Drosophila melanogaster: one gene and its partner. The protein of the gene in region 1 interacts with the protein of each later gene in a pairwise test. Each region holds a gene or a part of one and is shown on either strand. Other genes may lie near its edges.

Region 1 (3,908 bases):
CTTCCCCAGAATATTTCGCACCGACTTAAAGTGCTATATGAACATGTTCATATCATATCATTTCCATTGGACTGAATCTTTTATTGCCATTTTAAATGCATCCCCGAGTGAATAGACATTGCCCGTCTGACAATGTTAAATACTAACAATATCATTTGTATTCATATCAGTTCATCAAACTTAGAACAAAATTCAATTTTTAGCTCCAGATTTTGGTTGTTTTACACTTTAACTTCAACGGTAAACATAAGGTAAACATATTTCCTATCCCCCGAATTCGAACCTTTTAATACCTACAAGCGTACTAATTATAGTTGATAGACTTTTTAAATATTTACAAAATATTTTGTATATAGGCTTTTCAAGGCTTCACCAATAATTGATGAATATTGGCAAACTCGTAACCAAAAACGTGGCAATAATTAAGCTATGACACTCTATTAGAGTTTAGAATAGACTCCAGAGAGATTATACAAGTTCGAGTCGAAAGAAATACATATATTTTTTTGGGCGATCCATTTTATATTCACCACATAGCAGTGCGTAATCACGAACGTTAATAAACTGAGCCATATGCAACAATTATTTACACATCTAAATGTTAATCCTAAATCCTAGTGGATCTGTGTTAACTGCAGATCGAAGAAACCAAACCAGATGTAACCTAACAAATCAAAGTTGTAATGCGTATTTTTGAATTCATTTGCATTTAGACGCGAGAAACAATAATAAAATAAATGTAAACGCATTGAATGTAAATGCATGTTGTTTTATTCTTTACTCTCTCCTGTGCCGAAGAACAAGTCCAATGTGTTTTGGTAGTATAACGCAGCCAGCTGTTCTTTAGGCTCTTGTTTGATTCCGGCAATAGACTCCAAAACTTGGCTAAAACGGAAGACAAACTGTTAGTATCGTCTGCACATTTGGGGGTAAGGTATTAACAATGAGTACCTGATTTGGCAAGGCTCACAGCGTCCGTCTATTAGGGATTCAGCTGTCCATTTCTCTTTCTTCTTGACGGTGGGAAACTTGGTGGTCACGTGCTTGTGTCCAGCATGCGAGGGTCGAATACCACACCACGGGCAGTCGGTTTCTAGCATTATCCTGTCGTTGGGTAGCTTGCGCACCACTTCTGCGTTTTCATCCGTCTTTAGGGAGCACCCATTGAAGCCTATGTAGAGACCGCCGAAGGCGAGGATGCGCTGGGCCTCCTCCAAAGTTCCTGTAAAGCTGTGCACCACTCCGCCGCCGCACTCCTCGATCTTGTTCCGATTTCTTTCCAGGATGCCCATGAAGTCCTCGGCAGCATTTCTCATGTGCAGAAAGAGAGGCAGTTTGAACTCGGCCGCTAGGTCCAGCTGCTTCTCGAAGTACAGACGCTGGGTTTCCTGGGCGCAGAAGTGCAAGCGATCGTAGTCTAGACCACATTCTCCTACGGCCCGCACCTTGGTTCGATTTGCCTTGATCCTGGATCGCAACTGGTCATAGTAGCCCTCTGGGTCTGGTACGAATTCCTCGCACCGGGTGGGATGTGTTCCCACTGTCGTGTAGATGCGCTCTGTCGAGGAAAACCACTTGTGAATTGAGAGTGTACAATAAAATCGCGGTATGGGGAGTAAGCAACATATTCGTATTACTATGAAAATTGATGGAATAAACATCAGATGCTCTTCAGAAAGTGAGTAGCTCAATCAGAAAGTAATTTAAAAGGGACGTGCAATGGGGACTCCCAATTTAAAGCACAATTTGCAAAGGGAACATCCTAAAGGTCAGCTTACCATCCTTGGAGGCCAGTTCCAGTGCCTCATCCACATCCTTCAGGCAGCCGGCGGTAACGATGACTTTCTGCAGTCCCTGTTGCCACGCGCGCTCCAAGACGATGTGCAGGTCGGGCTCGTGCTTCTGGGTTCCGCCGTAGCAGCCCTGGAACATGGGGTCCGTCAGGTTGGCCCCAATGTCTGTGGAGCATTGCCAGGTGTTAGCTAGTCAAGCCTGCAGGAGTTAATTTCTCTCAAGTTACCAATATATTTCATGGCCATTCCAAAACAACGCCGCTGCATGGATAAATGTGCTAAAAAAAACCAGCAGCTGGAAACAGCTGTTTCACTTGCGAGATTTCCGCAAGAGGGCGCCGCCTGAACGCGCTCGTGGTAACCGCCAGGTGGCGCCGCACTTCCGTTGCAATTTGAATTTGAAATTTGCATTAAGTCGTTCTAAGAACATAATTCTAAGCTCAGACGTGCCAGCAGCAAATTGGGGTTTCCCGCACTTTTCCGATCCAAGCGGAGCGCTCGGCCTAAGCCAATTTAATGCAAAATCAATGCCACAGTAAATTGCATTCTGAATTGCGCATAATGCAATCTCATTAGCAAAGCTGTTTATTGTTTGCCGCGAACGCCAAAGCGGCTGGCTCCTCGCAAGCCCCCAGATGCCCCATTCCGAAATCCAACACCACACCCCCCATATAAATATGCAAATTTCAAATCAGCAGCAGCACGGCTGCTTTAAGCCGGCAATCGGCATTTACGCAATTGCAGAATTTATGGGAATCGCAATATATAATTCGAATGAAATTCCATTAGTTACTTTTAATGGATGCTGCGGTCGGTGCTGCACTAGTTTTAATTGATTTAGTGCAAACTGCTCACTGTGCCATTTTCCAGGCTGGCAGCCGCCGGTGGGCAGGGCGATTCGGATCCGAGTGCGGATCCCGTGGTCCCATGGACCCGTAGTGCGATGCCTCGGTGCGCCGATGGAAACGGAATGCGAAACGAAACAGAATCCATTATGCAGGGGAATCAAACATTTTCAAACACCGATGCCTGGGACGCATTGTGGTTTATTTTAACTGGCTAATACAATTGTCAATAATTCAATTTGAATTGAAATTCAATTAGTTACAAGTACATGACACACATACGCACACTTAGAGAGTTAATTTGGGTTTCCCTAGACTACGTGTAGTCCATGGGCCACGATCCTTCGATTCAGTAGAGTAGGTAAGTGTAAGTGCGCTCAATCAATCGAACTACGTAGACGAATATGTTTATTTAAAATCGGGTAGGTCGGATAAGATATCGAGCATCTCGCGGTCCCTCGTCGATGGGGCGGATAGGGTGGAATCCTCCGCACCCTTGTGTTCCCATTGGTTCATGATATACGCGAGTGGCGACGACTAGTCAGCAGATTTGTTGTTAATAACTACACCTAGTAACAATGTATAAACAACGTATTACTTGTAAAACAAACATCCAAACTGTACACACAAACTTGTTTAGGTACTGACTATGTGTACTATATGTATCCGTATGTAACTGTACTGTAAGCGGTTTATAATGCCGCACATAAGTATGCATGTATAACTACAATCCTCCATGGACGAATACAATACTCAATACTATTTTGGGGCCATTCAGACGCCTCTGACATTTCCCAGGTGTTTACAGTAGCTGGAATCCATTACTGCAATCACTGGGTGCATTGTTTGCTGCATTTTTCAGCTTGCACACAGTGCCACACACACGTGTGTCTAGATGTATTTGGTTTAATCACAATTCACTTTGCATATGCCGTATTTCATCCATTTACAGATCATTTAGATATCTCCGCCGTACTCGGTACCGCCTAAATGTAGTCTTTTAAATAAATCTTATTGCTAAGCACATTCCGGTGAACAAACACAAAGGATTCTCTTATCACACACTGGCGAGCACACCCACGCACCACCCACCCAGATGCAAGTGTAACTTGTGCGAATGGATACAAGTTGCGTATTAAAAACAGATTTATCGATTATTCGCTGCCGCAAGCCTCCTGCGAACAGGATGTGCATTGTGGGCTATTTGATTTGGCATTTTGGCGTTTTGGCATAAGAAGTTCACCCTGTATTATCCTTGATAAGCATTCGG
Region 2 (3,443 bases), on another chromosome or scaffold:
AGTGGTCCTGGAAAGCGAAGATGGTCCTCAGGACGAGGAAATGAAACCCATAGAGAGCCAGCCGCCACAAAAAGGGAAGGAGCAGTCAAAGTTCTCCCCCAGCGACTACAAAAACGGAGATGTGTTCGAAACGCACTGCTGGTCACAAACCCTCAAGGATGTGGAGGTGCAGGCTCTGCTTCCCAAGGATCATCAAACGGCGAAGAAGCTGCACATTTCAATTCAGGCCCAGCACATCAAAGTGAGCAGCAAGCATAGCCCAGAGACGATCATCCTCGAGGGAAACCTGAGCCAGCGGATTAAACACAAGGAGGCGGTGTGGACAATTGATCAGAACCGATTGATCATAAGTTACGGTGGGCATTCACCTAAAACATCTTTATAAACCATTTTCATAAACTGTATATAACTGTAGATAAAGCAAAGGAGCTCTGGTGGGATCGGCTCTTCGAAGGTGATCCAGAAATCGATTCCAAGAAGATTGAATGCGAACGCTATATAGATGATTTGCCGGAGGAAACCCAGGCCACCATAGAAAAGCTTAGGGTCCAGCAGTTGGCAGCAGACAAGCAACAAAATGAAATTCAGACCTCAAGTCCCGACCAAGCTATAAACCTGGATCGCCTGAAAGCTGCCTGGGATGCCGAAGGTTCGCCGTTTAAAGGACAGCCCTTTGATCCTTCTATCGTAAGAATGAGTTAAATTTTAAAATAATTAATTAAGCTAGCAATAGTAGTAAAATAGTAAAAACTGAACCATATATATTTTTATATATCTTTTAGTTTTTTCATTATTTGTTTCGTTCTGATTCGGAAACTGAAATTGTTAGAAAAGTATTATTCAATACAAACTCATGTCAACTTACAACTAGATCTTAGTAAGAACACTTTTGAGATTAAGTTTACTTGGCCTTCAGTTCGAGTTTCTTGCGCTGCAGTTGAATCTTCTGATAGGCCACATCCTTCTGATCTGTGGACCAGGCCAGGTACATGTAGGTGGTCAGCAGCAAGGCCATGACTAGCCGATCCACGCTCATCACATTCGTGGCGAACAGGATGACCGACAGGCCCACAAACGAGGGATGTCTGACATGGGCGTACAGATTGCGCAATTCCCCGGATTTGTAGCTGATGGGCGGTCCGTAGGCCTTCAGATCGTAGTAGGCTTGCTTGACGCCCAGCAGCTCTGGCAGATCCATCACCAAACTGCCGCCAAAGATGACAACCCAGCAGATGCCATGGGTGATCACGAAGGTCCACCAAAGCGGAGCACTCTGCTCCACATCGATTTGCCACAGAACAATCGACTGAGCGGGCAGCCAGTTGACGATCAAATACTGAAATGTCCAAAGTTGCAGTTGGGAGCTATTTCTGTCCAATTTGTGGGTATACAAACATGTAAACAAAGCGATGACGTCAGGCTATAAATAGTGCGCTCCGCACCCGACAATCCCAACTTGGCCAACAGCTTCTTGACCACGGCTGACTTGAGGAAGCTGTGCTGGAAGATGAATCCGATCAGGTAGAGGGTATCGAACACCACGGGTCCATAGGCGGTCTGCAGGCGCGACTTGTTGTCCAGTAAATTGAAAATCCAGGTGTGCGCCTTGGAAATCGAACGAGGCGTCGAAAGGAACATCATCAGGCTGCCAACCACGTACAGGGAGTAAGCGAACGTGGCCAGGGATGCCAATAGTACTATGGACTTGGCAATCGATGTCATTTTTGTCAGGAAAATTGAGAAAATAGCTTGTTATTTCGAGATAATCAAAACAAATTCAATGAACGTTTCGGTGAGCTAATCAGTGCGACCATGGCACAGTCGCGATAAAATCTTCGGTGAAGAATTTCAATTTGGTTTGTGTCCACGATAAAAACATCGCTCTCCCCACGTAGCGTGTCTCGGCTACAAAAACATAGCGCATTTATCCGGCGGCTTGAGTCATCGCTAGTTGTCCAAATTTAGGACTATTATGTGACTGGCGCGATTTTTGGAGTATGTCGCCACGGTCACTCTGTTTGCAAATGTTTCAATTTTCCCACTAACGAAAAAGTGTAAGTCCGCAGCCGAAAGGCATAAGAAAGTTGAGAAAAAGTTTAACAGTTGCAAGTAAGAACTGGTTTGATAAAGCGTATCTAAATCCAAGCAAAGTGATGAAAAAACTGTCGACGCGACAACCCAACACACACACACACTCAAACAGGCGCAGCGCTCCGGCACACATACACAAGTGGCTTGCAAATGGCGGATGCGTTTCCAACAAAAAGAAAAGAAGAAGGAAAAGAAAGACTGCATTGTAAATGTGAAATGTTGTGAAAATTGTTGACGTTGCAAGTGGCTTAAAATCGGCTGAAAATCAGCGTTAGAAGTATAGAGACTGGAGATAAGAAGGGGAGAGCGGTGTACATGTATGTGTGTAAGTGCAGTGCGACGCCCTTTTGTCTTGAGAGGAAAAAGGAAGCCACTACTTTATTTATCGGTGTGCAATTATTCAAGGTGCCAATTAGTAGTCGACACACTTTCACTGCTCCCCATTGCTTAATTATGAGCAAAGGGGACAGCTGACTGCTTTGATTTGCCAAAAATCTCGGGCGCCGCCGTCTGGCCGGGGCCCTGCCCCCGCCCTTTCCCATTTGTTGTTCGCTGATTTTATCAAAGAAAAAGACAAGAAATGAGCATAATTGATGCGCTGACCTCACCACACACACACACATAAGCATATGCGGGCTTATCAAAGGAGCGAGAGCGGAGCAGAGCTCAAAAGAGAGAGCGGAGCAGAGCAGCTGCAGTCCAATAAATCATAGACTCAAAAATCGTTCGTCATCGGGGAAAACCAATTGACAATCAACAAATGCTATCGACGTCTACGTCAGCAATCAATAATCATTAACCGCCAGCTTTAGACAATATCAATTTGCCTATTTATAGCCTTTATGAGTCACTCCACATTTTAGACCAACCTTCCATCTGTGGACCAAAAGAAAAAATTAGGGAAACGAACTTGGAACCTGACGCTCCCACGCAGGAATAACAAGAAGACACCACACACCGCAAAAAACATGCCACGCTTTCTTTCCCACAGAGATAAATAAAGCAGCATTGCATGTTGCATAAATATTACGGGAGAAAAAGACGAAAAGTAGGGAGCAGTGCTTTCTAAAATTAAAACTCTTGAGCCGCTGAAAATAGCAGGGGCAAAAAATGCATTTATGAATAAATAGATGAAAAATAATGAATGAGTGCGAGTACGCTCTCGCTCAGCGGTGACAGAGAGAGCGAGGAAAGCACTTGCACCGTTATCAGTGATGCTGCTGCGAAAGCAAGCTAGTAAAAGTATAATTTCAAATTATTTTTTTATGAAAGAACAAAAATAATATAAAATGGAGAACCCGGTTAAATTTTAGATAGATTGGAAGTTTTCAGTTTTAAGAAGTTATTAGGAT

Evidence for each region.
Region 2: the proteins of CG3358 (region 1) and CG7655 interact in a two-hybrid assay, tested with the Drosophila melanogaster proteins (one large-scale study listed by BioGRID).

Annotation. Positions count from the first base shown.
Region 1 is NT_033778.4:6,921,530-6,925,437, reverse strand, and holds CG3358 (uncharacterized protein), read right to left. Parts: upstream 2,073-3,908; 5' UTR 2,021-2,072; intron 1,993-2,020; exon of another isoform or gene 1,959-1,992; 5' UTR 1,933-1,958; coding exon 1,779-1,932; intron 1,559-1,778; coding exon 952-1,558; intron 886-951; coding exon 771-885; 3' UTR 509-770; downstream 1-508.
Region 2 is NT_033777.3:17,681,068-17,684,510, reverse strand, and holds CG7655 (uncharacterized protein), read right to left. Parts: upstream 1,843-3,443; 5' UTR 1,723-1,842; coding exon 1,396-1,722; intron 1,337-1,395; coding exon 902-1,336; 3' UTR 738-901; downstream 1-737. Other genes in the region: CG31251 (uncharacterized protein), read left to right, coding at 1-356, 416-702.